Macaca fascicularis: one gene and its partners. The protein of the gene in region 1 purifies or fractionates together with the protein of each later gene. This does not show direct contact. Links are inferred from orthologs where the notes say so. Each region holds a gene or a part of one and is shown in the gene's direction. Other genes may lie near its edges.

Region 1 (4,395 bases):
ACATGATCTTGGTTCACTGCAACCTCCACCTCCCAGGTTCAAGTGATTCTCCTGCCTCAGCCTTCTGAGTAGTTGGGATTACAGACATCTACCACCACACCTGGCTGATTTTTGTATTTTTTAGTAGAGATGTGGTTTTGCCATGTTGGCCATGCTGCTCTCGAACTTCTGACCTCAGGTGATCCACCTGCCTCGGCCTCCCAAAGTGTTGGGATTACAGATGTGAGCCATTGCGCCCAGCCTTTTTCTTTTTCTTTTCTTGAGACAAGGTCTCGCTCTGTCACCCAGGCTAGAGTGCAGTGGCATGATCACAGCTTACTGCAACCCTGCAACCTCTGCCTCCTGCGCTTAAGCGATCTTCCCACCTCATCCTCCCAAGTAGCTGGGACTGCAGGTGCATGCCACCATGCCTGGCTCATTTTTGTATTTTAGAGACAGGGTTTCACTGTGTTGCCCAGGCTGGTCTTGAACTCCTGGGCTTAAGTGATCCACCCGCCTCAGCCTCCCAAAGTGCTGGGATTACAGGTGTAAGCCACTGCGCCCAGCCACTTCGTGTTTTTTACACTATGTTATTATCTAACAAAGATTCATCGTGTATCCCACTTAAAAGACAAGTTTTTTGAGGATACGAACTGACCTGCCCATTTTCCATGGAATAGATGTTCAGTAAATTTTATTTAATTGTTTAGGTAGGATCATGTAGAAAGTATCCTGTTAAAGACCGCCAGACTCACAAGTTAATTGGAAGGTATGAGGTGTGAGTGTTCTTGGTAGCTTTCAGTCCCTAGCCTCCTCATCTCCATCTTCCCGTTGTCTTCCTTGGCTGCTCAGTATCCATCACAGTAATTTATTAGACCCCGTTTTCAGCCTGTTCCTCGTTGGTTTTGAGAGGACCCTTGTTGGTGACAAGGTTGGAAATCCTCTGATACATACAGTGCTGTGCTTCTCAGTGCTAATTCCAGCTCTTCCCTTCGTGCATCCAAAGGGTATGATCATTAGAGGGGGCGTGGGGCTGGGTTCTACTCAGGAATCTCTACTCAAGTAACAATCATTTGATTACTGTAAGACCCTTTCAAAGTTGGAAGGAAACTGAGACTTGGAGAACTTAAGCAGTTTGCTACAGTCATGTAGTTTCTAAAAGTGGCAGAACCAGGACATTTGTTTGGTGTCCTGCATGTTCCAAAGTTCATGGCATGGACCACTGGACTGTGCCACCTTGTGCCTGTTTTTATTTTGAGATGTAGTCTTGCTGTGTTGCACAGGCTGGTCTCAAACTCCTGGGCTCAAGCAATCCTCTCACCTCAGCCTGCCAAGTACCTAGAACTACAGGCACGCACCACTATGCCTGGTTCTGTATGTGTTTAAGCAGACGAAAGCTTATTTATTATTGTCTTAGATCTTAGGCGTGTCTTATATTCAAGTAGTGTTTTTATGGACCTGAGTACACAAAATAGAATCTTAGATTAGTGCTCTGCTGAACAGAGAGCACAATGTCTACAATGGCTACCACCTGAAGGTCTTTTTTAAAAATACACCTTTTTGTGTGATTTGACTTTAACTGTTCTCAGAATCATGTGTTCATTTCTATCCTGTTGGGGTTAGTAGCCAAAATAAAGGGTTGGTTTGGGGAGGAGCTGCTTTGTGCTCAAAAGCTGTTTGTGCGTGTGCGTGTTTTTGTTTTTTTGAGCAGGGTCTCACTCAGTTGCCCAGTCTGGAGTGCCATAGAACGATCACGGCTCACTGCAGCCTCAGCCTCATGGGCTCAAGCCATCCTCTCACTTCAGCCTCCTGAGTAGCTGGGACTAGAGTCATGTACCACTACACCCGGCTAATTTTTCTATTTTTTAGAAGAGATGAGGTTTCACCATGTTGCCCAGGCTGGTCTCGAACTCGTGACCTCAGGTAATCCCAGGAGTTCAAGGTACAATGAGCTGTGATCGTGCAACCGCATTCCAGCCTGGGTGACAGACCCTGTCTATAAAAAAATTAATGTGCATGGTGGTGCACGCCTGTAGTCACAGCTATTCAAGAGGTGGTGGTGGAAGGATCACTTGAGCCCAGGTGTTAGAGGTTACATTGAGTAGTGATCTCACCACTACACTCCAGCATGGCTAACAGAGTGAGACTCTGTGTCTAAATAATAATGTATGGGCCCTTTGGATAAGGTAGTGTTTGTGATTTAATGTAAACTGTCTTTTTCTTGTTGCAGAGAAATGCTAACTTTGTCTTCTTCATCCGTACAGGTTGGTGACATTGTGAAAGTCACAAGGATGAATATAAATGGCCAGTGGGAAGGCGAGGTGAATGGGCGCAAAGGGCTTTTTCCCTTTACGCATGTCAAAATCTTTGACCCTCAAAACCCAGATGAAAATGAGTGATTGCCGTTGCCCCGTTTCCTGCTGCTTTGTTGTTCTGCCTGTCCTAGTCTCCTTTGAAGTGGGAAAGCATTCTCTCTCATAGGCAAGTCACACTGCATTGCCGAAGTCCAGCTTTCTGCAGACTGGCAGTCGCACACACATTTGGAATGCACACAGCGACTGCCTCCTGACGTTTGTATCATAGTTGTATTGTCAAAGAGTAGCCGATTTTAGAGTTCTTTTGGATCATAAACTGGAAATACTGATGGAAGCACACAAGTGGAGAGAAGTTGACGAGGAAAGGGTCTTCCTTCTCATCGCTGCCTGTTTGTACATGGGACTGATTCTGTCGTGTTCACCAGAGAAAGCCTGAGGCCATGGCGAGATACTGCATGTTTGCTGTTCCACAGAGCAGTGGCTCAGCTGCCATCTTGCTTTTCTTTGGACAACAGGAACTGAACCTTAAGGAAGAGAGAATTCTGTTCTAAAACTCCAAAATTCGGCTTTTTTTTTTTCTTTTGGTTTGGTTTGGTTTTGGAAAACTAATTAATTAGACTTGTGTGGGGTTTTTTTGTTTTGTTTTGTTTTGTTTTTTGTTTTTTTGAGACGGAGTCTCGCTCCATCACCCAGGCTGGGGTGCAGTGGCGCAATCTTGCCTCCCTGCAGTTTTCGCCTCCCGGGTTCAAGCAATTCTCCTGCCTCAGCCTCCCGAGTAGCTGGGATTACAGGCGCGCACACCACGCCCAACTAATTTTTGTATTTTTAGTAGAGACGGGGTTTCATCATGTTGGCCAGGCTGGTGTCGAACTCCTGACTTCAGGTGATCCACCCGCCTCAGCCCCTCAACGTGCTGGTATTATAGCCATGAGCCGCTGTGCCTGGCCTAGACTTGTGTGTTCTAAACAGGTTAAGTAGCAGGTTGGGTTTTTATGATAGTGCAAGGAATGACACATGCCTCTGAGCTTCTAAACTGAAGCTGCTGTAACTAAAGGAATCTGAAAAGAACAACCCTGAAGCAGAGGCCTTTATTGTCTTGGTTGCCAGTAGTAGTTTGTTTTGCCATGTAGCAGAAAACACACAAAATAATGCAGCTGTGGTGTGCCATGCCATGTGCACAGCCCCTTGGATTACTTTGTTTTAAAAAGCATCAGAGTTGGGGGGTACTTTAGGGAAACCTTTGCTTACCTTGTTTGCCAGTGATAAGAGCAGTGGGTTGGAGGGCAGTTGGCCAGTTTTCTGTTCAGCTTTTCAGTGAATGTACCCCTTTAAGGTTAAGACTTAAATTCCCCTAAAAAGTGGGGTTGTTCATAGAATCATTGGACTCATTAATGAATCGTTAAATTCCACTCACTGAAGCCCAGACCTCCGTACCCAGGCCCAGTCTCACCAGGCTGCCAGAGAAAGTTGGTGCTGCTGATACTGGTCTCACAGTCTAAGTAAGTGTCTGATGCTCCCAAGCAGTGGAAATGCAGGCTCTGGAAATTGGTTAATGTATTTGATGTCTTAGTGTTTTAGTGACTAGGGAGACCATTAACCAGTTTATCATTAACCACTTATCAGTGTATTGATGTTAAAGCATTTCCCTGTTAGCTAAAAGAGGCCTGTTCATACAAGCCAGCTGGTATATATGTGTGGTTCATCCGTCATCTGCTGCTCATGGCAGACTAGAATTCTGGGAACCCTGTGTAATTCAGTCTGTTCTCCCTTCTGGGCCCTGGTAAAGACAAGCCTCAGCTTATAGTGAACACAGCAGACCTAGAAATGTAGCAACAGCCTAATGAGTAACTGTCATTTACTGAGTATCTGCTGTGACTGTGGCCCTGTCTGGAGGTTCCTAGGTTTTGAGATTTAGAACAATGCCTTCTGGAGACAGAACCAGCAAAACAACCATTTTTCAATTTTTCTTTAAATCAGTATTCTATTAGGCAGATAACTGCCATATTCATGAATCTTGAGAGTGTTCCCTGTGACAGAATTAATGGTCAGTTGGGAAAACTATCACCATGGCTTCCCATCTATGGTTCTCCTCTAAAATTCT
Region 2 (4,904 bases), on another chromosome or scaffold:
GTTTCACCGTGTTGGCCAGGCTAGTCTCGAACTCTTGACCTCAGGTGATCCACCTGCCTTGGCCTCCCAAAGTGCTGGGATTACAGGTGTGAGTCATCGCACCCGGCCTGTTTCTTTATTTGTTTAATAAAGACGGAGTCTCTGTCACCCAGGCTGGAGTGCAGTGGTGCAATCATAGCTCACTGCAACCTTTAACTCCTGGGCTCAAGGAGTCCTCCCGCATCAGTCTCCTTAGTAGCTGGGATTACAGGCACACACCACCATGCCCAGCTAATTTTTGTATTTTTTGTAGGGACGAGTTCTTGCTCTGTTGCCCATGCTGGTTTCAAACTCTTTTTTTATTTTTTATTTTATTTTATTTTATTTTTTTTTGAGACAGAGTTACATTCTTGTTACCCAGGCTGGAGTGCAGTGGCGCAATCTTGGCTCACTGCAACCTCCGCCTCCCAGGTTCAAGTGATTCCCCCGCCTCAGCCTCCCAAGTAGCTGGGATTACAGGCGTGCACCACCATGCCCAGCTACTTTTTGTATTTTTAGTAGAGACAGGGTTTCACCATGTTGGCCAGGTTGAGCTCAAACTCCTGACCTCAGGTGATCCTCCTACCTCGGCCTCCCAAAGTGCTGGGATTACAGGTGTGAGCCGCCACACCCAGCCTAGCCGTTTTCAGACTCTTGAGCTCAATCTTTCTGCCTCACCCTCCTGTAGAACTGGGATTACAGGTATGAGCCATCGCACCCAGCCCACCACACCTGTTAATAAAAGGAGATCTCCGCCCCTGCCCCCTGGTTTGGGTTTTGGTTTTTTTGGGGTTTTGTTTTTTTTTTTTCTTTTAACTGCTCATTTGTTTAATGTTACTTTAGCAGCCATGGCAGCCACGTCACCCTCAGGCTTCTCATCAGCTGTACTGGCTTCCGAGGGCCCCAGCAGGTGCTTGTGGAGCCAGAGGCCAGAGGCTGAGGAGGGAGTTTGTTCTGGGAAAGACAGACACCCCAGACTGGCTCTTTGGTTTGCTCTGGGGTTTGGAAGCAGCAAGGGCTAGAGTCATGTGTCAGGCGCTAGGACTCACAGTGAGCAGCTGCCAAACCAGCCCCTCCCTGTAGCAGTAACAGGCTTCCTAACCCGTCCTCCCAGGGGGCTGATCCTGCAGGACCTGACCTTCGTTCACCTGGGAAACCCAGACTACATCGATGGGAAAGTGAACTTCTCCAAGCGGTGGCAGCAGTTCAACATCCTCGACAGCATGCGGTGCTTCCAGCAAGCGTGAGTGCCGCTGCCCCGGGGGGCTGGGCAGAGCTGAGCCCTGGGCCACACCCAAGGAGAGACAGCCCGGGATGCCGAGGGGAGGGGGAGCCACAGAGGACCCAGGGACCCGCCCCCTGCTGAGCAGGGATATAGTCCAGGCCCTTCAGTCTCTGCCAGGATGACTTGAGAGCATGCCCACCAGGCTCCATGCCAGGCCTGGCCCTGGGCCTGGACCCCGTGACGGCACAGCTCGTCCTCCCATTTTACACACCAGAAGCTGGTGCCCACCTTGCTGTGAGAAGCGCCTGACAAACCCTGGCCTGCCTGACTCGGAGGCACCAGAGCTCCCCCAGGGCGGGCCCTGACATGCATTGTTGGGGGCAGTGGGGTCACCTGGGGCCCCTTCCCTTTGAGCAGCCCAGCCTCAGGGCCCTGTTTGTGCTCCATATGCTGGTACTGTCTTTGAGTGCTGGTATCCCCCCTTTGTCACGTTGGTTAATGGCAGCCCCTGCAGCATCCGTCTCCTGCGAGGTTGTGGGGATGGTCCCCACGGCACCGTCCAGGAGGGTGGCGCCATCGGGCCATCCAGCCCACACAGGTGCTCACTGACTGCTCCCCATCCCCTGCACCAGGCACTATGACATCCGGAGGAACGACGACATTATAAACTTCTTCAATGACTTCAGTGACCACCTGGCTGAGGAGGCCCTATGGGAACTCTCTCTGAAAATTAAACCCAGGAACATAACAAGGAGAAAAACAGACCGGGAAGAGAAGACCTAGGAGCAGCCGCCGGGATCGAGGAGAATGCTCGAGGGGCGCGGAGGGCAGCTCCCAGACCGGAGAGGACCTTGGACCTGTTAGGCGGGTGGCAGGAGTCCCGGCCTCGGAGCCACGAGGCTGGCCAGGCCTCAGCGGGGCCGGGCGGGAGCTGGAGTCTGCCTGCCGCTTCCTGCCTCCCTCCTCTGTGGGAGCAGACCCGTGGGCCTCTGCAGCCAGCAGGCAGGTCTTGTTGCCAATTTGCAAACCGGTGGTTTTCTGGTTTGGTTTTGTTTTCTGCTTTTACTTCCATCTCTCCCCTCTTGCCCTTCCACCCACTCCCCTCCAGGGAGAGAGCAGCAGAGACCTCATCAGCAGACCAAGGAAGTGGCGGGTGCTGCCCCTCCCTGAGCTCCAGGGTCCCTGAATCTTCTGAAATGGAAAATGAGTGGAGGCCTTCTGGGGTGGGTTGTCCTCCAGGGGCCCTGGAATGGGGGCGAGCAGCTGGGTGGGCAGAACGCAGAGTAGACTGGGAGGAGGTCCTTTCACTTCTCGCTTCCGCTTCTGTTGCATGGAGGATGGTGTGAGCTTTGCAGCAGGCCCGGAAAGGTACGCAGGTGACCCCTTAGCAGCTGGTGCTCTGCACCGTGGTACTGGCGCCATCAGGGCCTCCCTTGCCTGCTGAGAGCAGCAGCAGTGTCTGTCATCCTGTCGCCCCTTACCCCCCACCCCAGGCCACTGGGCCCCTCCCACACCACCCGGGGAGCTGAGCAGAGGAGGCTGGAGTAAGGGAGGACTTGATCATCCAAGAAGTACTTTTTATTGCTGGGAGTCTTCTGAACCTCACCAAACTGAGGCCAGAGCTGAGCTCCTGGGGGAGTTAGTTCAGAGGGGAGAGGCCAGCACCTCCCTCCTCCATCGCTCGCTGTGTGCCTTAAACTCCATCTCCTGTCCCTCCCCATCCCCTGGCTTTCCCTCCCTCCTCGCCCCATCCTGGGCCGGCCAGCAGGGCTCCTCCTCTGGCTCTTCAGACCTTTCAGCCAGTGCTGTCAGTGCCCCTGGGAGGGAAGGGCATCCCTGAGGCACCCGAATGGGCCCTCGGGGTGCAAGGAGGCAGAGGCCTGGCCGCGGAGGAGCCTCCTAAGGTAGCAGCTGCAGCAGGTGCGCCCTCTCCCTACTCTCGCCACACTAGAGCGGCTTGCAGAGCAGATGCTCTTTCCCTCCTCCTCGTCAAAACCGTTCTCGCTGCTGAGCTTGACAATCTGGGCAAGGCTTGTGGGGCGCTTGGCAAACAGAACCTGCCCTGTGCCGCCCGGCTCTGTGGCCTCCAGCATGAGCCTGCAGGCAGGGCACTGCGGGAACCCAGTCGTGCTGCCCCAGCCCATGCCTCCAGGTCTGCTGTGCATGAATGAGTGCTCATTTGTCCCAGGTTTAGGACAGCAGGGTCAAGTGAACAGCAGGGTCTAACTATGCTTAGCCCAGTTCAAACAGAACAAAGGCAAAACGTAGAAAGCAACATCTGTTGATCATTTGGGTTTTTTTTTTAAAACAACCATGTCACTTTGAGTCCTTCGTGGGTTTTTGAACAGCATTTATCAAGAAGAAAATGTGGGTTTTTTCCCCTCGCCCATGTTTTATTTGTCCTGTAGATAGAGGGAGGAAAGCCGTGCAGTGGCAGGCGGGACCCCCTCTGGCGGCGGGATCCCCTCTGGCGGTGGTCCTGCAGGGCCAGCCGGGACCTGTCACTTTATTATTTAAGGAGTGTGTGTGTAGAGTCGCTGGCTTATTAACAGTATTGTGTGTGGGTTGGGTTTTTAGTTTGTTCCTTCTTTTTGAAGTCCCTTCATTTCAATCCTTGCCTCTCTCTCCCCTTCCCTTGCCCAGCTCTGTTGAATGCTGCTGTGCGCGTGTGAGGGCCTCTCTGCACACAGGGCCCTTGGGTTTGTGCGAACTGAAATTCTCCCTGTATTTGTGAGACTCGTAGGAGTCCCCCTCTGGAGCACAGGCAATGCCAGTGCCATGCTGCAGCCTCAGAAACCAGGCCTCTCCCCCCAGCAGCAGGTGGAACCGTGTCTGTGGTCGGGTGCTGTCCACAGCTCTGTCTGCCTTGTTCTTGGGCTTGAGCCAGGTGGAGGTGGGGTCTCTTCACCTTCCGTGAATTCAGAACAGACCCTGTGCCTGGCCCCAGTGTGCCCAAGCAACTCCCCAGGCCCTTGTTGGGAGCCCTTGGTGGTCTGAGCAGCGGGGCCCAGGCAGCACATGAGCAGTGCCCGGGGCTCCCTGCGTGAGGACGGCAAGGTGCGATGTATGTCTCATTTATTGATGGCAGGCGTGCCCCTGCGCCCCCTGCTCCTGGCCCTGGTTATTGCTGAGCTCTGTGCTCAGTGCTGCGGCCTGGCCATGGCTCGTCTGTTCCTTCTGGGGGGCCGGGCAGGTTGTGGGAATCAGTCTTCACAAACAGACAGGAGCCAGGCAGAGGACTCGTTCCTTGCAGAGGTCAGGCCTCACCTGCAGGTGTCGGGGTTGGCAAGGAGGGGCAGGCACACACCATGTCTGACCTAAACCCAATTCTGGGGAGCGTCTCCCGCTCCAGCCCCACGACCTCCACAGGGTTACATTGTAATATATATGCCCCAGCTAACCTGTCTGATGGTGGCATCTTCCTGCAGACATTTCAAACATGTAACTTTTATATGAAAAAAAATAAACACAGACGAAAGCTGCCGAATGTCATGTCCACGCCCAGCTGCGTGTGTGCAGTTACAGTGACAGCCCAGCCTGCTCCGGGCTGGCCTCGCCACCTCTTTTCTGAGACCCCTGTAGCAGGCAGGGCTTCTGGGAGGCTGAGGGTCATTCAGCTGCATTCCCAGGCCCACTCGCTGCCGTTGGGGTAGTTGTGGCT
Region 3 (5,675 bases), on another chromosome or scaffold:
GCTGAAGAGCACAGAGAAAAAGCCCCTTTCGGCCGGGCGCGGTGGCTCACGCCTGTAATCCCAGAACTTTCGGAGGCCGAGGCGGGCGGATCACGAAGTCAGGAGATCGAGACCATCCTGGCTAACATGGTGAAACCCCATCTCTACTAAAAAAAAAAAAAAAATACAAAACATTAGCTGGGCGTGGTGGCGGGCGCCTATAGTCCTAGGGAGGCTGAGGCAGGAGAATGGCTTGAACCCGAGAAGCAGAGCTGGCAGTGAGCCAAGATCACGCCACTGCACTCTAGCCCGCCTTCAACCTTTGGGGAAAGATGTTCAGAGAACCCTTCCCAAAGCTGATACGTGGTGACTATTGTATTCACATTTCAAGGTCCCTCCTGCCATTGGCCAAACAAGAAACATCAAACTTTTCCATTTCTACATGAAATTGTAAATAACACCATCTTTTCCTAAACAAACAAAATAAGACCTTAAAGAATTTCTGGCAGAATATTACCTAACCCCAACTAACTCTTGCTAAACAGCCTTCCAGTCTGTGTATTGAATCATATAACTATCAAAGGATATGTAAAAGACTACTCTTCTGGGGGAAGATAGGGCATACGTCTGCCTGACTTGCATCACAAACCTCAGCTGCAGCCAAACCATGCAGATTTCTTCGACTCTGCAATCCCTGGGACTTGGCACCATGACTCAGATGTGAATGAAGTCAGGATGGGTTTATTTTGGTGGGGAGTCACCGCCTCCTGATTGATTTGGCAGACGTTAAGTATTGTATGTCTTACAGGGATTTAAGGTACTTAAAGCCAGAAGTTAAAATGGCCATCATTCTGGTGGTGGCCCTTCATATGTGACTTAAGGATCCCCAAATTGGAAGGTTAAGGGAGCTGTGGTCCCAGCCTAACAGTTCTGGCTTTACTTCCCATCCAGCAGCACAGTGGATATTGAAGAAAGTCAGTGAAATGTTAGATCCAGGAGACTGACTGCTAAAACTCCTAGGGTATCTAGAAGAGCTAAGTACGTGATAGCGGATTCGCTTTTCCAAACTGAGGAGGGTGAACTTCCCCCAACCCAATCAAGATCTGTTGGACCAAATGATGTCCAACTGCTTGAAACATCTCAGCTGCACAGAGACAGAAATGAACAAAACAGCTTTAGTCTAAGGTTGTGTGGGGCAGTGCAAGATGCTGCTTCTCCAATTCATCTGTCCACACAGCACGGTTCCCCATTGAATAAACAGGATACTATCCACTTATCAGAGAAGTTAGGGAGGACCTGCCTTTTAATGCTGCTTGGAGAGACACTGTCAATGAGCGGGGACGTTGGGGAATTTGGACCCCAATTTCTTGTTCTTCTACACTTGACCTTGCCTTCCAATTCACTATGAAATATATTTACTAGGTTTGCTTCTTCCATTCTACAAATCATGCGAGTTTTCTATACTTAACTGTTTTCCTAGAGGCAATGTAGGAGGGACTCAGCTGGACTTTGTTTCCAGGCAATGAGAGGCTCCCAGGTTGATCCCATTAAGGCAATGCCCTCATTTTGAATAGGGGATGACTGGGACCCCTCCTCCCCCACACACCTGAATTGGAAACTTGGCTAGGCTTTGTACAAGCCCTTGCCCTTAGGCAGTCCATAAAATGGGAACAATACTGAAGACAATCCTGTAAGCCAAGAGTGCAAAGGCTCCGGCGCGTAGTAGGTCCGTCTCCTCCTCCCGCCGAGGGGCGCCAGAGTTAAGGAACTTCTTACTGGGAAGGGGTCCCTCCTTTCAGCAGGAACCTGACCCGCAGAATGGATCGGAAACGCGAGCAACCCTCGGATCCCTTCCCCGTCGACGCTCGGTGAAAAATCGATCGACGACGGAGGGCGCGCAGTCCCTTCTCCGCACGCCCGCCAGCGCCAGGGGCGCGGCCGCCTCCCCGGCCTCCGCGCCCGCAGCTTGAGGCCTCAGGAGAAAGCGAGATTCCGGGGCTCGCCGGCGGCGGTGGCTTTCTGTGTCCTGGCGGATCCCCAGCCCCGCGTCCGCGTGCGCGGCGGCCTCGGGGGCGCGGCGGGAGCGGGCGTGGCGAGCGCGCCGGCCTTCCCGCTGCAACTGCCCCCGCGGCGGCCCGGCGGAGAGTGCGGATTGCGCGCGCTCGGGGCGGGGGAGCGGGCGCGCGCGAGGCCGCCGGGCGCGCGCCGCGCCGCCTAGTCCCCGCCGGGCCGCCCGCCCCGCCCCTGGCCTCCCGCGAGCTGCGCACCGCCGGCCGCTGCCCCAGCTGCCCGAGCCCGCGCCCTAGTCCGCGCGACCCAGCGGCGGGCTCCAGGCCGGCAGCATGAGCGGCGGCGGCGGCGACGTGGTGTGCACCGGCTGGCTGAGGAAATCGCCTCCCGAGAAGAAGTTGAGGCGCTATGTGAGTGCGGGCGCGGCCGCCGAGGGGCGGGCGGGCGGGCGGGGGGCGCTCCGGGGCCTGCGGAGGGGCGGGGGGCTCCCGGAGGGGCGGCAGGCTGGGGAGCTCGGGCCCGGAGCCGCGGGGGCCGGGGGCGAGGAGCGGCCAGGGTCGTGTGGGGTACCTGCACACCTGTCACAGGTGCGCCGCCGAGGGGCGGGGCGGGGCGGGCGGCAGGTTGAGGCTGCGGCTCCTGCTCCGCCAGGCGGGCGCGGCGTCGGCGCCTCCCCAGGCGGTCTGCCCGTAAACTAAATATAGTGTCGAAGTTTGTATTGATGGCTTCTGGAGACCGAGAGAGTTGACTCTCGGGGCTGGGGCTCCGCGGCGGCCCCTAGCAGCTTCAGCTCACAGGTCCGGGAGAGGGCGGGAAAGGGGGGCGTAGGCTGTGGGCCCGCGCGGACGGCCCCACAAAGGGCGAGCGCCTCACGCCCTCTCCTTCCCTTTCTCCGCCCGCCCCTCCCGGCCGCCGGCCTCACTCCGTCCGCGGCTGCATCACCGGCAGCGTCAGCGGCATGTGCAGCCCTTGTATTAAGTGACTCATTTGTTTGTCCCCCTTCTCTCCCTTTATTCCGTTCGTCTCTCACAGGCGCCTCCCCCGACCCCGGTGTGACACTGCAGTTTGGTCCCCGTGGCTGGCCCGGGTTTGGGACCTGGCAGCTCCCGGTTGTCTGGGGTCGGGAGAGATCGAGGCTCTCGGCGCCCAGGTGTTGCCAACCCACAGTGTTTACTGACATCGCTGGAACAGCCTCTTCCCTCTAGGTGGGGAACTGGCAGTTTGGGGGAGGTGGAACGGCGTGGCGCTGAGCCGTGGAGTTCTGGCTTTTTTTTTTTTTTTTTTTTAACCCCTCTCCCCAGAGGATGCCTTGCCTGGTGAGGTCAAAGTACAAGATGGTGCCAGTTACTGAGATTTTGCCGAAATGGTCCTGGGGTAGTCGCGGGAGTTTGGAAGTGGGGGTAAGGTGGCTGGAAGGTTTCAAGGTCTCTCATCTGCTCCCTCTCCTTTTCCCATGAAATGCCCTTGTTTAACGGGCTGTGGTGCCGGACTCCGGGATCACTCCCACAGCCTGGAAGGGAGCCGTTGCCTCCAGCTGCAGTGCATCAAGGGAGCTCGGAATAGACCCTGCCCTCTGTCAGCTGCACCAGTGGCTGTCCATGGGGGGAGAAGCAGAAGCCTACCAGAATTTCCTGTCTTGGCTCCCCAGATCAGAATCAAGGGACTTCTGGCCTCTGGACTGAGGAAGTGACATTCTGTTTTTCAAAGGAAGTGTTGTTGTTGCGGAGTGCAAGTGTGTGTGTCAATGAAATCAGGCTCTTACGTAGATGTTTGCTAGGAAAAAAAAAATTCTGATTTAGCACATGACTTTTGAAAGTGGACGTGGATTTATAGGAGGGATGAAGCAGTGAATTGTTCATCTCAGTTTGAAAGCTCATTTTTAGGAGTGTCTATGTAGCCAAAGTATAATTATTAAGAAATACACTTTTTTCCTCTTCAGGCTTGTATCAGTTCGTTAGGAAGGTTGAATACTTTAATTAGGATTAAGGAGCAGTGATTTACTATTAACAATTTAATAAATATTTTTAAAACTTTGTCCCAAAGAGCTTCCAAAAATTATCTTTACAAATAGATTTCCATACAAGCTAGTGGAATAGAGTGTCCACAGTAAAAAAAAAGAAAAAGTGACCCTTAGTTTTCAAATTTGAACACTACACTAAACCTTGAAACTTGTTTTTGAAACAATTTGCAAACAGTATGACATTGTATCTCCATTTGACTTACCGCTCCTTGAACGCTCACCCAGACTCTCTTTATGACCCATTTCTTGGGTGTTTTTGTTCCCAAACAACTTTAGTTCAAAAAAACCAGGTTTGGAGGCATTTGGGTCAAGCACCTTTTTCACTCATTTGAACGAATCTAGAATCGTGTGATGGCCTTAGCCTCTCTTTCCCATCTTCGATGCACCTTCAGCCCATCAGGTGTCAGACCTTAACAGCTTTCAGTAACAGCTTTTCTTAGGCCAGGATGTGATGTGTTCACTTACATGACTGGAAGCCTCTGCCCTTTCGAAAGTTCAGTTTCCCCCCAGTTGAAACTGCTGATCTGTGTAACCTTAAGCTTCCGGGGAACAGTATTCTTTTACGTCTACTGTTTTTGGGGGTATTAAGAATTTTTGCATCCTGTTGTAAGTTAAAACTCTGCTAGTTTGCTTATTTCAGTAGAGGCCCGAGTTCATCAGAACCAAACTTGGAAAGTATTTCCCAGCCTAATGGCTGTATATTTACCCCAAAGTAGCTGCTGCTTCTGGTATACATCATAGTCATGTTATATTGTACTGAGAAATCCTCTTTATAAGAATGCCACAAGCATATGAGATAAGGGGAAAAAGTAGTTGATGAACTAGGTTATAACTATTTAAAACGATTTTTTTAAAAACTGATTTAATTCGAAGGCTGGGCGCAGTGGTTTATGCCTGTAATCCCAGCACTTTGGGAGGCTGAGGCCGGCAGATCACTGGAGGTCAGAAATTCGAGACCAGCCTGGCCAAAACCCCGTCTCTACCATAAATACAAAAATTAGCTGGGCGTTGTGGAGGGCACCTGTAGTCCCAGTTACTCAGGAGGCTGAGACATGAGAATTGGGTGAGTCTGGGAGGCTGAGGTTGCAGCAAGCCGAGATTGCACCACTGCACTCCAGCCTGGGTGAGAGAATGAGACTCCATTTCAAAGAAAAACAAAAAACTTATTTAATTCAGAAAGACAAGGAGGTGCAGAGGGGGGAAACATCTTAGAAGAAGCAAAGGCAAATGTTTGAGCAATTAGTTTTCAGATATTTTTTCATCAGCCTTTTCTAGTTAATTATAAGTATAAAAGATCTATCTGCTATTTGCTGAGTGCCCTGGAGAAATTACAAAAAATGACTTTGGAAAATGCTGACTATTGCCCCTGGGGCATCCTGATACGGTTGCAGTGGGAGGTTGGCAGGAGTAACAACCCTCCCATCGTGCCTCAGTGTATTTGTGTGTGTATGCGTGTGCATGCAAATGCATATACACGTACATGTATATAAATCTTAAACAGAATTTTCTTGAGGAAAAACATTTTATTAATATGACCTACACTGCATTGTAGTTTTCAATTTCACTGGGTTAAAAGATTTAGGGAATAAAATTGGCAGACTGCCCCCTAGTGGCTAACTTGAAAGTTGTGCACAAATTTTAATGAACAACTGCATTAAGGTAACAG
Region 4 (5,636 bases), on another chromosome or scaffold:
CTTTGATCACTAGAGGGTTTAGGTGATAGGCAAATTCTCTCTCCAAGGATCTGTTGTCATTTAAATCATTACCAAAATACTCATTTTTTTCCTTTACTCTCCTAGCTTAGAGTACAGCCAATTGTTGTCTAGTAGGGGGATGCTGAGTCATTTTTTCATGCATTTTCTTACCTCTTGGCTGCAATATCACCATTCATTGTTCACAAGCCACCCAGCTTGTTTACTTTTTATAAATTACATGTAATCAAGTCCTCTTTCAGGTCTGGCTACTGTAATTGGCAGCAGCCACAGAGCAGGGCTGACAAGTCTGCATTTATGCTGATGTCTCATATTCAGCCCACTCTCCAAGCTTTCTTTCCTCTTCCATGTGTATTTTAGAAGGAAGGCAAATAGAAGGAATGCAAAGAGAGAACTGTTAAGGTGTTCTCTCTTTTCAGATGATCCTAAGATACTTATAGCTTGGCAGAGTCCTTGTGTCATTTGGTTGGGAAAAAACAAGGGTGTAGAGCAGTCAGTGGTCCTTAAACTTCAGTGTGCATAACAATCACTGGGTAACTTCTAAAGTTAAGATTCTTGGGCTCTACCCTCCTTCTAATATTTTTATTAAGTCTGGGTAGAGGTCCAGAAAACTGCAGTTTCTTACTTGAACCCCTGCTGATTCTGATGTAGATGGTCCTTAGATTACTCTTGGAGAAATCCTGAGTTGGGCATAGAGGGAAAAAGAGACAAGAAAGAAAATCCAATAGAAGTAAATACTTATAAAGAGTGGAATAGGAAAGCAAGAACCAAAACTGAGGGAGTAACTTTAATCTCTCTTCAGTGAGATGAAGGGAGTGAGTATGCTGTGCTGCTTAAAAAGATAAGTGTTTAGTTTTTTCTGGCAGTGAACGAGATCAAACTGTCCTCCAAAGAGGACATATTTAGAGGATGACAAAAGTGAAAAGGAATTTTTAGAAAGGTTAGAATATGAGAAAGTACCTAACTGTCGCCGAAAAACTCAAAAGACATGATTAAATCAAAGAAAGTATTTTGTAGGTGTCTGTTTAAAGAAGAATGTGCATTCCTGAATCAAGAGTTTATGAATGGCTTAAAGATGAAGAGGAGAGATGAAAGAGGATTAGCTGTTCACCAGAAGTTCTGGTTATTCTAGTTATTGGATCTGAAACCATCTTATTAAAGTATAGTCCGGATTTCCTGGAATAGTTCACATTTCTAATATTCTTTCCCATTATTTTTATAATACATGTCTGATTTGCCCCAATTTTTGGTTAGTTGAGATGTGGTTGATGTGTAAAAGAACACCAAAAGTGGGTCTACTTGACTGAGGAAGCTCTCTTGCTTTCCAGCTCTGTGTTTGTATATGTGTGTGTTAGATTTATATTTTCTAATCTATCTCTTTTAACCTAAACTTTGATTTTAAAGCCCACGTTAGAGAAAGAGCAAGAGAGACAGACTGACTCCACTTTAGAAAATTGGTCAAGAAGTGGACCAGGTGGGAATGGTTACTTAATCCTAGCAGAGGAATAAAGTACTTGACTTCCAGCTACCTATTGAATGTACTCTGCTTCTAGACAGCTATTCCTTTTTTTTTTTTTTTTTTTTTTGGACATATTATTTCCATAGAGGAACTTTATAGTTCGATTCAGTAACCTTGGAGAGAGGTCCTGACCGAAAAACAAAAAAAGAAAAGAATTTTGGAAGATAGTCGGCCGGGCGCGGTGGCTCAAGCCTGTAATCCCAGCACTTTGGGAGGCCGAGACGGGCGGATCACGAGGTCAGAAGATCGAGACCATCCTGGCTAACACGGTGAAACCCCGTCTCTACTAAAAAATACAAAAAACTAGCCGGGCGAGGTGGCGGTCGCCTGTAGTCCCAGCTACTCGGGAGGCTGAGGCAGGAGAATGGCGTGAACCCGGGAGGCGGAGCTTGCAGTGAGCTGAGATCCGGCCACTGCACTCCAGCCTGGGCGACAGAGCAAGACTCCGTCTCAAAAAAAAAAAAAGAATTTTGGAAGATAATTATAAAGTGACGAGTATCGCCAGCATTTGTTAAATCATTCTTTCTTTATTCTAATTATCTCTGTATTAAAGTGTTCACTTTTCCATATACATGCTCTAGAAACCCAGATTGTACTTTAGAACTTTCACCGCTATAGTGTATTAACTAGCTTGCTAATCCTTTTTACCATCTTTGATGTTCTTTCCCTTCCATCTGCTCACAAGATTTTATAGAATCTTCATACCTGCATTGTAAGTGTTGAGGATCATTATTGTTATTGTATGAAGTGTCTACCACACCCTCTCATTGCACTAAGAGTCCAAGTAAGTGTAGTTAGTAGATCACTTTGCTCTGAAGTGAATAGAAGGGTTGTTGCTGTATGCTGGTGGAGACCCAAAACCAGCTTCTTCCATTTACTCTGGCAATCAAGAAAGGCGAGACTCCTGTGTCTTCTACCCTGCACTTTGAAGACTGGGCTCAGGACTTGCTGTCTTCATTTCAGGTTACCTTATTTTCTTGCTTTCTTTTGTTTTTAAAATCATATACTTGGTATATCTTGGTGTATCTCCTTTTTATGAGCCTCTTAGTATTCCTAACTTTTCAGATTTTTTTTCTTCCTTGTGATTTATTCTAACTCATATACTGTTTAACATAGTGATGGGTGTTTCCAATGAATTTTTATATTTTCTGAAAACAAGTGTAAATGCTCTTAGAAGCATAACATTAAATAGCTATCAAAATGCAACATTAGGAAATCACATAAATTTTCAGTGGAAGTATTTTAACTTACAGTTTTCCATTTTGAGTTTAACATATAGAGAAAAAAAGAGTTATAAAATATTAGGTAAGCAGATTTATTGCCCTTTGCCTAAGTTACTAAAGGGAAGTGTTTCTTTTAAAAAAACTTGGTGTAGAAGATTTATCATTAAACTATAATATATATATTTGACTTTGTAATATTTTTATGTTTACTTATATTTGAATAGAAAATGTGCATAGATTTACTTAAAATGTATAGTATATTGGTATTCATTATTTAAGTTACAATTTTTAATACCCAGAGATTTCCAAATCTTTAATATCTACCTATTTATGCCAGTGATTCTTAAATAACTAAAAGATACTCTTTATAGTAGCTTTTATGCACACTAAATTTTTTAGCAAATGTGCTTTGCTCCAAGTTGGAGAATTAGTTATATGTTGAGAAGCCCATGCTTTTACTAAGTGAAATTGAAACATAGATATTGAAATATTTTTCATCCTTCAACTAAGTTCTAGCCTTGAAAACATCTGTTTGTTTTCAAACAGGATCTGTTGTTTTTCTAAACCGTATACTTCCAAAGCAGAATAGATTTTCTTCGAGATTTTTATTGAAATACCTCAAGGAGAACAACATGACTCAAAAGAGGATAAAGGCTAATTTTTCTTAATGAAAGGAGAAAAACATTTTTTACTCTTTCTATTCTTAATTTAGGCCTAGGAAATACCCTGAGTCCAAGGCCAGCTGGTTTCAGCATGCAGAGATGAGACTAGAACACGCTTCCTGATGCCCAGGCCAGAGCTGTTCTCATTACCATTTCTATATCCACCTCCATCTTTAGTGGGTTGCTGTGATTTCCAGCATTCAAACCATTGCACATTTCCAGAGCCTTTCAGCTGTCTCATGGAGCAGTTCATCCCAATGACTGCTTTTTTAATTATTATTTTCAATTGTAATTAAAACAAAACAGCAACACATAACATAAACTTGACCATCTTAATCATTTTTAAGTGTATGGCACAGTAGGTTAAGTATTCAGGTTGTTGTGCCAGCCCAATATCTCCTGCTTCTCCATTCAATCTCAGTAGCATTGGAAACAACAGAAGGGGCTTTATGCAAACACCTTTCAGGAAGGCGTGTGCCTCACCTGTGTTTGCTCCTTCACAGTAATAGGAAGTTAATTATGTGGGATTTGCTCACCTGATCCACACAGATGATCCTACTGTCGGATCATTTGGAAATCCCACACCCCTTTCTTCCCCCGAGGAAAAAATTCTTTCCTGATCCTAGATTCAGTGCTCTGTTTAATCTTGAGCATATGAGAATGAGTCACCATGGGTAAGTGTGTAATCTCGTTTATACCTTTCTTCCAACCCCCTTTTAATTTTTTAAATGTATGTTACTGGATCCTGCTTTTCTACATAAGGACTGGTGATTTGGAAACTAATTTTGGGACTGCGAGGTGTTGCGATTTTTTTTGGAACCAGTGCTTTCTGTTCTGCTGAACATGAAGCTGCATGGCCTAACTTCTGAAATTCAGGCTATGTATGGAATGTCTGTGTGGATGAAGAAACAAGCCAATGCCTTTTTTTGGGTCGGGGCCGGGGGGTGGGGGAGAGGCTGGGAGAACGATGAATGAAAATGTTAAGATAGTCTGATCTTGTGGGGGAAACATTCAGATTTTGAAAATATGTGCAAACCAAAGACGAGCAGTTAATTACTTTGTGATTTTATTTTACCCACAAGAGAAATACTTGATATTGTGCTGAAGATGATGTTGAATAGGTATATTAACTCAGATAAAATAACAGTTTTACTTTTGATTCCAGTTATCCCTATCTATACAATGCATAAATGCTATTTCCATTTCTTCATTCGTGGAATGAAAAACATTTCACTGGAAAATTATTTTTAAAAAAGTACTTTAAAGTACATTGGAATCTTTAGGATACTTTGAACATGGTGCTTAAAGAATGTAAATGGTTAATACTTGCTTTCATGCCCATAGAGGAATATGGGAGTGGGACTGACTTGAATATCAAAATGAAACTCTGTATCCATTTTTAAATACAGTATGCATTTGAGCAAAGCCCTTCTCCCTAAATGCTTATTTTAAATTGGCAGTTGCTCAGCCAACAGTCAGTAATCTCAGTTAGCAAGTGTTTGGCACGCCTGTTTTTTAACCTGCACAGGTTCAGTTCACACAAAGAAAGAGAGGGTTGGGTTACGTGATGCAAACACCACGTTAGCCTCATTAACATATTTTGAATAACTGTATTTGAATATTTGCCAGCTAAGCTAGGCCATCTGAAGGCCTTCCGAACGAATTGGGAGTTTCTGAAGCAGAGTGTAGAGATTTGAGCCTGTAAACTTTCTACTTTTTCTTCTTGAGAGGAAAGATTTTAGAAGATTCTATTTAGAATACTTTCCATACCCTCTCAAAAGAACACCCTTTTTTTTTTTTTTTTAAATTCTGCAGAAATTTTGGACTTTCTGCCACCCTTTTATATATCTTTAAAAGAGGTACCATAAGACGTGTCTCAGAAATACCTTTAGGTAATCTATCCTGAGTGGGTTTGAGTTTCTACTCAGCCTGTTTTTTGTCTTTGCAGAATTTAGTCCTGAAGCTCTTTCTGTGAGTCTATCTGGAGAACCTCTTCTGCAAACTTACTGTGTGAATGCCAGTGGTTGGAACAGGACAGATGGGATAAACTAGGGTGCCTGTAAACTCCTACCTAGTGGATGCTCAGATCATAAAGATGCCAGCCTGGGTCAACTCTATATAGTATAGAAATTGTTTTTACAAGCCTCCAGTTTTGTGGCCTGACATCTGTATCTGTTCAGAAATACTTTTTTTGACTTTGACACCTGTCTGGCT
Region 5 (4,904 bases), on another chromosome or scaffold:
TTTGTGCCTTCTCTCCCACAGGTGATAACCCCCGTAAGGACAGGCCATGGCTACGTATACGAGTACCCATCCCGATACCAAAAGGACGTCTACGATATCCCTCCTTCCCATACCACTCAAGGGGTGCGTACCAGAACAAGGTCACAAGAGGAGAAGAGCTTCTAAGGGTAGTGTTCCTTCAGGGCTGTAGAGAAAATGGAGTTCACAAATTATGTATTAATATACGTCATATAAAGCTTTATTTAGGTTGTCTATCCAGTAGCCACTTTAGCCAATGCTATTTAAATTATGTTTTCTGGATTTGCTTTATCAGGAAATCCTAGTATTTCACCCAAGAGAGCTTATGTTCTACAATTTTACTTCAGAAAGTAGAATTTTTTTTTTTAAGACAAAATCTTACTTTGTTGCTCAGGCTGGAGTGCAGTGGCTTGATCTCAGCTCACTGCAACCTCTGTCACCCAGCCTCAAGCAACTCTCCTGCCTCTGCCTCAGCCTCCCGAGTAGCTGGGACTACAGGTGCACACACCACCATAGCTGACTAATTTTTGTATTTTTGTAGAGACAGGGTTTCACCATGTTGGCCAGGCTGGTTTTGAACTCCTGACCGCAAGTGTTCTGCCCACCTCAGCCTTCCAAAGTGCTGGGATTACAGGCGTGAGCCACCGCGCCCAGCCGGAAAGTAGAAAATTTAAACTACACTTTAAAGTACAGGCAGTGTAGATATTTCACATAAGATCATCTTTTTTTTTTTTCTTGTTTTGTTTTGTTTTGAGACAGAATCTCGTTCTGTCACTGGGCTGGAGTACAGTGGCACGATCTTGGCTCACTGCATCCTCCACCTCCCGGGTTCAAGCGATTCTCGTGTCTCAGCCTCCCGAGTAGGTGGGACTATAGGTGCGCGTGCCACCACACCCAGCTAATTTTTGTATTTTTAGTAGAGATGGGGTTTTACCATGTTGGCCAGGATGGTCTCGATCTCTTGACCTCGTGATCTGCCCCCCTCAGCCTCCCAAAGTGCTGGGATTACAGGTGTGAGCCACCGCGCCTGGCCAAAATCATTTTTATATTCAGTCTAAGTTAAAAACCACAAAATGTATAAAGAAAAAAAAAAAGGTAATCAATTTGTTATAACATGGAGCACTGCTAAAGATCAAGCTTGTACACAACCTGGTAAATAAATCCGTAATTAAGCACTTAGGAGCATAAAAAATGACAAGTATAAGACATTTCCATTGTGGGTAACTCATGGGTTTCTCTCCAGGTATACGACATCCCTCCCTCATCAGTGAAAGGCCCCGTGTTTTCAGTTCCAGTGGGAGAGATAAAACCTCAAGGGGTGTATGACATCCCGCCTACAAAAGGGGTAAGTGAGTGACTACAAAGCAGCAAAAAGGAGTGTGAGTGTGTGTGCGTCTGTGTGTCGAGGGGCATGGGGTCGGGAGGAGGGTGGGTAAGTAGTTTATTGGAATAAAACAAGAAAGGCAAACCCAAAAGGGGAAAATGTAGTCTTGGTGAGAGTAAAGGAATGAAGCAAAAAAGGAAAGGCTCATTAAAGATAGCTCTAGGGATTTCATATTGAGGAGCCGCAGCTAAAAAACATTGGGAGGCCAATAAGGAGAACCCTTTGGCAGGGAAGATAATTAGTTTGGCAAGTACTAATATATATTTGTAGAGGGTTTGTTTTGTTTTGTTACGTTTTGTTTGAGACAGGGTGTCGCTCTGTCACCCAGGCTGGAGTGCAGTGGTGCAATCACAGCTCATTGCAACCTTGACTTCCCAGGCTCAAGCAATCCTCCCACCTCAGTCTCCCAAGTAGCTGCCTCTTACCTCAGCGTCCCAAGTAGCTGTGACCTCAGGTGCATGCCACCATGCCTGGCTAATTTTATTTTTTTGTGGAGACAGCATCTCCCTATGCTGCCCAGGCTGTTTTTGGAACACATGGGCTTAAGTGATCCTATTACCTTGGCCTCCCAAAGTGCTGGGACTACAGGCGTGAGCCACCACGCCTGGCCTGTAGAGGGTTTGACAGTTTTCTCAGTCTGTATGTTTGGGTGAACTCGTTTGACTCACTCTGTTACCCTCTGGGGTATGCCTGCACAGAGCACGGTAATCCCTACTTTACAGACAAGGGGACTGTGTTTCAGACACCTATGCAGCTCATTCAGCATCACACAGCTGGTGTAATAACCGAATAGACCAGGGGAGACCTCCGGTCTTACTCTGCTGCTCGGCACAGATCAGCAGAGAAAGGATACCCAGGAAGTGGTCAGAAATGTAGGACTGGAACACAGGGGTGAGCAATTTAACCAGCAGGGTTGCACATGCAAGTCTACACCAAGAATATGTGGGTGGAGACACTTGTCAAAGGACAAGGGAAGTGGCAGCAGAATAGCGGGGAACCTTGGAAGTGCCTAACATGGGGGGCGGGGGAAGGCGACCGAAAAAGTGCCAGCAAATAGGACTGAGCACATGGGACCGCATGCTCCCACGAGCCAACACAATAAATAGCATTTCGCTTTCTACTCGCTTTTCAGGTATATGCCATTCCACCCTCTGCTTGCCGGGATGAAGCAGGGCTTAGGGAAAAGGACTATGACTTCCCCCCTCCCATGAGACAAGTTGGAAGGGCAGACCTCAGACCTGAGGGGGTTTATGACATTCCCCCAACCAGCGCCAAGCCAGCAGGAAAGGACCTTCATGTAAAATACAACTGTGACATTCCAGGAGCTGCAGAACCCGTAGCTCGACGGCACCAGAGCCTGTCCCCGAATCACCCACCCCCGCAACTGGGACAGTCAGTGGGCTCTCACAACGACGCATATGATGTCCCCCGAGGCGTTCAGTTTCTTGAGCCACCAGCAGAAACCAGTGAGAAAGCAAACCCCCAAGAAAGGGATGGTGTTTATGATGTCCCTCTGCATAACCCGCCGGACGCTAAAGGCTCTCGGGACTTGGTGGATGGGATCAACCGATTGTCTTTCTCCAGTACAGGCAGCACCCGGAGTAACATGTCCACGTCGTCCACTTCCTCCAAGGAGTCCTCACTGTCAGCCTCCCCAGCTCAGGACAAAAGGCTCTTACTGGATCCAGACACAGCTATCGAGAGACTTCAGCGGCTTCAGCAGGCCCTGGAGATGGGTGTCTCCAGCCTAATGGCACTGGTCACCACCGACTGGCGGTGTTACGGATATATGGAAAGACACATCAATGAGATACGCACGGCGGTGGACAAGGTGGAGCTGTTCCTGAAGGAGTACCTCCACTTTGTTAAGGGAGCTGTTGCAAATGCTGCCTGCCTCCCGGAACTCGTCCTCCACAACAAGATGAAGCGGGAGCTGCAGCGAGTCGAAGATTCCCACCAGATTCTGAGTCAAACCAGCCACGACTTAAATGAGTGCAGCTGGTCCCTGAATATCTTGGCCATCAACAAGCCCCAGAACAAGTGTGACGATCTGGACCGGTTTGTGATGGTGGCAAAGACGGTGCCCGATGACGCCAAGCAGCTCACCACAACCATCAACACCAACGCAGAGGCCCTCTTCAGACCCGGCCCTGGCAGCTTGCATCTGAAGAACGGGCCGGAGAGCATCATGAACTCAACGGAGTACCCACACAGTGGCTCCCAGGGGCAGCTGCTGCATCCTGGTGACCACAAGGCCCAGGCCCACAACAAGGCACTGCCCCCAGGCCTGAGCAAGGAGCAGGCCCCTGACTGTAGCAGCAGTGATGGTTCTGAGAGGAGCTGGATGGATGACTACGATTATGTCCACCTACAGGTAAAACAGCCGAACTCATAAAACACCTACGCTCACTCACATGCAGGGAGCCTGAGACAGATGCCTGTAAGGATGTCGGGTTGGACTACCAAAGGAGAGCACACGATTAATGTTAATCCACATGGTTCACAAATTGGAGGGAGTGTTGTAGAGTAGGAAGAACGCTGGACTGAGAGTCCTGAGTACTCACTCAGCTCTAGCCCTTTCTCTGACATTTACTGTGTGACCAACTTATTCAACCTCCTTGGGCCTTAATTTCCTCATTTGCAAAATGAATGGTGTAAGGGGCTGGATTAGATCCCATTGATACCTCAGGTAAGAGGAGACTCACCAAGTAGGATAATAGGCCCTCTAATGATATTACCAACTGAGCCTCACCTGGTGCTGAGGGAGGGAGTGGAGAGACAGGATGGAGGCATTGAACATTCACCTTACTCGTTGTCTGACTCTGCACAGTGGGAAATACTGCCTTGGAGCAGAAATCTATAGATGATTTGAGGGAACTGGAAGTGAGAGGTGGACCACATTTAGACCTGCGTTTGGGGGTTTACGGGTTCACATATAATCTATGAGAAAAGAACTCAGAGAAGTAGTACATTTATATAGGAGATTTTAAGGGAATCATGAGTAGCTCTCTGAAAACTGTAAGGTGCCCCAGAAAGCTGGCACCCTATATGGCAATGGGCTTTATTTTTCTGCCACCCCTGTCTAGGGTTCACAGTGCCTCACTGAGCATTTGAGATGTTGCCAAGGCAGTGGAAAATAAAGAGTATTTACTCATCTGTCAATGAAATTGTTAGCATAAGTGAATCACAGTGATGACATAATAATGTTCTTTATGTTGAAAATTAACAGGGTAAGGAGGAGTTCGAGAGGCAACAGAAAGAGCTATTGGAAAAAGAGAATATCATGAAACAAAACAAGATGCAGCTGGAACATCATCAGGTAAGTTCAATCAGAGCAAAAGCTGCTTGGTGTTGGAAAGATTTCCCACCTAGTACTAAGGAGAGTTGTAACTTCAAGAGATTATGATTTCGATTCTTCCAGCTCACTGGCAAGAATCAGCTCTAAAGCACGGAATGGGGTTTAAAAGCAAAGAGAAGGTTTATGACCTTGCTAGTTCATCTG
Region 6 (4,393 bases), on another chromosome or scaffold:
TTTTGGTATTTCTACACATTACTTTTAATCATAAGCAATTTCCAGCTAAGACTTTTCAAGATAAATAAATGAAATAAAATTCCTGTGAATTTTTTCTTAAAAATTTAACATCCTACAGGATCTGCTTCTGTATCATCTATAAGTTTAACCAAAGGCACTGATGAAGTGCCTGTCCCTCCTCCTGTTCCTCCACGAAGACGACCAGAATCTGCCCCAGCAGAATCTTCACCATCTAAGGTAAAGTAAGAAATCTTGTTATGTAGAAATTGGAATCATTACAGTTACATTATAATAAACGGCTTATGTCTAGTTTAGTTCTCACTGGAATAAGTTAACATTTCAGAGTATATAGGCTTAATAGTTTAAATAAGGATTACATATAGATTTAGCATGCAGTAATGTTTCTTTTCTTCTGAAGGTAGTTTTTTGGTATGCATTCAAGACCCTTGTAAACCTAAGGCTATGGTTATTTTCAGAAAAAAAAAATGTTTTAATCTATAAAGTAAGAGAAATTTGGTTTCAAGCAGTTCTTTAAAAACATAGTCCTGAAGCTTTGTATGAAGACACATTATAAGTCAAACTGTATCTTGACATATGCTAAAATTTACTTATCTGAGCCCTTAATAGTAAATCTGACATACTTTTAAATGGAGTTTTCATGAAAATTCTGGGTTTGGAAGAGACCCTAAAGGCTCAAAATAGCTATTTCTACCTACTTTTTTTGGCGGGGGGGCCAGCTGTTAACTTAACGCATTAGTTCTTAAGCTGTCCAGAGTGCAGAGCACCAGGGTAAGTCAAGACACTCTTTGTACAACTTCATGAATGTTAATATAGTTAATTTAAAATTATAAAATAGGCAATTTATGCTAAATTAGAAATGATCTTTGATTGATAAGCTAAGTCAGTAAGCAGTAGCAAACAACAAAATTTTGAGGAAAAAAATTTAAGTAAAAACTTTGGCAAACTTTTTTTTTCTATGAATTGGCAGAACCTTCCATTTAAAACACATGCCAGCCTTGGCAACAGAGCAAGACCTTGACTACAAAAAATGAAAAAATTAGCCAGCCATGGTGGTCCTTGCTGCTTGGGATGCTGAGGTCGGGGGATCACTTGAGCCCAGGAAGTTGAGGCTACAGTGAGCCATGATTGCACCACTGTACTCCAGTCTGGGCAATAGAGCAAGGCCTTGTCTCAAAAAAAATTTTTTTAATTACAAAGGAAACATACGGCAAAACTCCCTGTTCCACACTTAGCATCCTGCCAATAGCATGTTTGAAAACCCCAACTTAATTCTTATAGTCATGATACTTCATAAATTTATTAATAAATGTGTATTTTATTCTTCTTTTCATTTGTTAGATTATGTCTAAGCATTTGGACAGCCCCCCAGCCATTCCTCCTAGGCAACCCACATCAAAAGCCTATTCACCACGATATTCAATATCAGACCGGACCTCTATCTCAGACCCTCCTGAAAGCCCTCCCTTATTACCACCACGAGAACCTGTGAGGACACCTGATGTTTTCTCAAGCTCACCACTACATCTCCAACCTCCCCCTTTGGGCAAAAAAAGTGACCATGGCAATGCCTTCTTCCCAAACAGCCCATCCCCCTTTACACCACCTCCTCCTCAAACACCTTCTCCTCACGGCACAAGAAGGCATCTGCCATCACCACCATTGACACAAGAAGTGGACCTTCATTCCATTGCTGGGCCGCCTGTTCCTCCACGACAAAGCACTTCTCAACATATCCCTAAACTCCCTCCAAAAACTTACAAAAGGGAGCACACACACCCATCCATGCACAGAGATGGACCACCACTGTTGGAGAATGCCCATTCTTCTTGAGTTCCTCTGTACTGGGATGTATATTTTCCTGGCCCCAAATCCATTGCTGGCAATGGATGCACTGAACGTGCCAGCACTGAGGAGTTAAAATGAGAACTCCAAACACTAACGACTCTTCTTCAAGATGCAGTATAAGACAATGAATTTTAACCTAGATGTAATTATAACATGGAAATGGTATTCCAGTTTAGAATATGGAAAGACTGACCTAGAGGAATTGGACAACTGATTGCACCTGAAAATCATAAAGGGACTTTTTCTGGCCAATAGGCAGGAGTCCTCTTTTTGGGAAGTGTTTGTGAAGTGATCTTTTGTGAAGTGATCATTAAAGGGATGGAAAACACAGTCTAGTGTCCAGCAGGCCCACATGATGACAGGTTTTGTAATTCAAATTATGCACTTTTAAAAAAAAATGTAAACAGGGATCTTAATATCTTCCTTTGTTTTCCTTTGCTTTACTCTTCTACTTCAGAATATTTTCTTAAAAATCACTCAAAGGACTGTGAGGAAAGGCTGTGGTACCTGACCTTGTTGAAATCAAGGCCCGGCACTGTACTACAGTCCTGTTTACAGATTATTACGGTGAACTGAATGGGTACCGAGGCTTCACCAAAGAGGTACTTTTTTGTTGTTGTTGTTGTTTTAGGAATAATTATACCAATTTTAAGAGCATTCCCCACCTGTCCCCACACACCCAAACAAAATGTGGTGGTGTTGCCTTCAAAAAAGAAGTTTTGTGTCATTAACATGACAGAAGAACTTTTTAAAAAAACATAACTGTCAAGTATTCTATTTGCATTTAGGAGACTGTTAATCTATGCTAGATTGTCATTTTCCCTCCTTCTCCCACAAAAGTTTACTGGTAGTCCATGTCATGGCTCGTAGCTATCCCTCTAACCATACCATGGAAATGCAGACACCCAATGTGAAAAGGAGCACTTGCTGGGCATCACTGACACCGCTCATGTTTTACTCATAGTTGAGTAATCAGCATATCTAGAATTATCTTGCATTGCCTAAATCATATGTATATAGTGAATGTTATATAATATACCTGGCAGGTCTGTTTTAATTTAATTGAATAAAGATACAAATACTTTGTTTGGCTGGCATATATTAAATTATTATATGAAGAAAATGGTTGATTCTTATTTCTTTTAGTTGAAAAACACACAAAAACACTAAACATAAAAGCACGTTTTGTGGTACGCCTTGGTTTCTAGTTCTGGATATATGTATTAATCTTAAAGAATGATCTAAAGTCACAGCTTGGCATATAGGAAGATACTTGGTTAGAATAGGATGGGTATCTTTTAAGCAGAACTTTGTAAGTTTTAAGTTCCTAAGCAACATGTGTACAGTGTGTTAAGGTTTCTATTGAACATTCTACCTTGCTTGAGGTTTTCTGCTTTATCAAAACTATTCATGACAGAACATCTACCTGCATCATTACTATCATAATATGGATTATTCATAAAGCGTATGTACTGTTATTCTGAGTCTAACAAATACTGTGACTGAAATGCATGCACCTTGTTGAAGAGAAAACATTTTATTAATCTCCACTATAATGTCTGTGAAATGTGCAGTATTCCATCCTTAGAGAGTTATCTGGTTCATCAGCATCTGCATGTATCCTCTGAATAATGAAGCAACATTTCAGCAATTCTGTTAACCACGCTATTAAGAGACATTTGTAGAAGTGCTGCAACATGGTGGGAACCTAGTACTTTAATAATTTCCTATGATATTTATTAGAGCGCAAAATGTACATCACGATAGTACAGTATGTAGTCCTTTAAGACCAGAAGGTATGTTAACTGCACCGTCATTAAGCAGTCTATCCTATTTTCTTATTTATTTGTTAGAGTTGAATCCTTTTTGTTTAATATCTGTACCATTCCTATGATGGTAGCCATTTTTCTCTTTATAAAATATTTCTTCTTTGGAAAGTGTCCTAAAAATTTAATTTCAAATCTCCTCTTGGATGCAAACTGTCCCTAAGACCATCCACTCAACAGTATTTATGTAAGCCAACTTACTAGTGCCACTACAACTAATCATGATACATAGTCCAGAATCTCCCAGGACTTTTTACTGGGCCAGCCTCATTGTCCCTAGGATTTCTCTTTTTATGTCTCATGGATTACTTCTCTTTTTAATTGCCCCAGGCCCATTCCAAATGAGAACCTGGTAAAAGTCACATTGGATCCCATTCAGTATGTCTTCGGCTAATGTGTTAGCCTTCAATAAGGTGATAACCCCTTTTCAACCTATCTAGTCTATAAAGAGGAAAAACTCAAATTTGAAGTTCTAATCTTATTTCTCCCAAAGGGAACTATTCTTCTACCCCATGGTTCTAGGAGACCACTTCACTGTGCAACAGTTTTATATGTATTGTGGATGGAGGATATTTTATTCTGAACTGTGACATTTGGGTAAAAATATTTTCTGCAGTGGTAACTGATTAGAAAAATTCCAATTGAATGCCCTTAGGTGGAGGTGAGAAAACGGTATCCTTGCCTTCCTCTCAATATGAAAC

The links.
Region 2: the proteins of CRKL (region 1) and RAPGEF1 purify together in Homo sapiens (affinity purification with western blotting; 16 studies listed by BioGRID and IntAct, with this or other methods). This does not show direct contact. The link is inferred for Macaca fascicularis from reciprocal best matches to the Homo sapiens genes CRKL and RAPGEF1.
Region 3: the proteins of CRKL (region 1) and GAB2 purify together in Homo sapiens (affinity purification with western blotting; 3 studies listed by BioGRID). This does not show direct contact. The link is inferred for Macaca fascicularis from reciprocal best matches to the Homo sapiens genes CRKL and GAB2.
Region 4: the proteins of CRKL (region 1) and GAB1 purify together in Homo sapiens (affinity purification with western blotting; 3 studies listed by BioGRID and IntAct, with this or other methods). This does not show direct contact. The link is inferred for Macaca fascicularis from reciprocal best matches to the Homo sapiens genes CRKL and GAB1.
Region 5: the proteins of CRKL (region 1) and NEDD9 purify together in Homo sapiens (affinity purification with western blotting; 4 studies listed by BioGRID). This does not show direct contact. The link is inferred for Macaca fascicularis from reciprocal best matches to the Homo sapiens genes CRKL and NEDD9.
Region 6: the proteins of CRKL (region 1) and SOS1 purify together in Homo sapiens (affinity purification with mass spectrometry; 3 studies listed by BioGRID and IntAct, with this or other methods). This does not show direct contact. The link is inferred for Macaca fascicularis from reciprocal best matches to the Homo sapiens genes CRKL and SOS1.

Annotation. Positions count from the first base shown.
Region 1 is NC_088384.1:31,930,145-31,934,539, forward strand, and holds part of CRKL (crk-like protein), read left to right. Parts: intron 1-2,243; coding exon 2,244-2,378; 3' UTR 2,379-4,395. UniProt on the Homo sapiens protein: May mediate the transduction of intracellular signals.
Region 2 is NC_088389.1:12,236,483-12,241,386, forward strand, and holds the end of RAPGEF1 (rap guanine nucleotide exchange factor 1), read left to right. Parts: intron 1-1,132; coding exon 1,133-1,261; intron 1,262-1,875; coding exon 1,876-2,026; 3' UTR 2,027-4,727; downstream 4,728-4,904. UniProt on the Homo sapiens protein: Guanine nucleotide-releasing protein that binds to SH3 domain of CRK and GRB2/ASH. Transduces signals from CRK to activate RAS. Involved in cell branching and adhesion mediated by BCAR1-CRK-RAPGEF1 signaling and activation of RAP1.
Region 3 is NC_088388.1:77,316,666-77,322,340, reverse strand, and holds the start of GAB2 (GRB2-associated-binding protein 2), read left to right. Parts: upstream 1-2,219; 5' UTR 2,220-2,321; coding exon 2,322-2,399; intron 2,400-5,675. UniProt on the Homo sapiens protein: Adapter protein which acts downstream of several membrane receptors including cytokine, antigen, hormone, cell matrix and growth factor receptors to regulate multiple signaling pathways.
Region 4 is NC_088379.1:148,465,837-148,471,472, forward strand, and holds the start of GAB1 (GRB2-associated-binding protein 1), read left to right. Parts: upstream 1-2,341; 5' UTR 2,342-2,377; coding exon 2,378-2,500; intron 2,501-5,636. UniProt on the Homo sapiens protein: Adapter protein that plays a role in intracellular signaling cascades triggered by activated receptor-type kinases. Plays a role in FGFR1 signaling. Probably involved in signaling by the epidermal growth factor receptor (EGFR) and the insulin receptor (INSR).
Region 5 is NC_088378.1:161,757,757-161,762,660, forward strand, and holds part of NEDD9 (enhancer of filamentation 1), read left to right. Parts: intron 1-21; coding exon 22-123; intron 124-1,261; coding exon 1,262-1,363; intron 1,364-2,534; coding exon 2,535-3,776; intron 3,777-4,631; coding exon 4,632-4,721; intron 4,722-4,904. UniProt on the Homo sapiens protein: Scaffolding protein which plays a central coordinating role for tyrosine-kinase-based signaling related to cell adhesion. As a focal adhesion protein, plays a role in embryonic fibroblast migration.
Region 6 is NC_088387.1:83,182,797-83,187,189, forward strand, and holds part of SOS1 (son of sevenless homolog 1), read left to right. Parts: intron 1-118; coding exon 119-237; intron 238-1,359; coding exon 1,360-1,851; 3' UTR 1,852-4,393.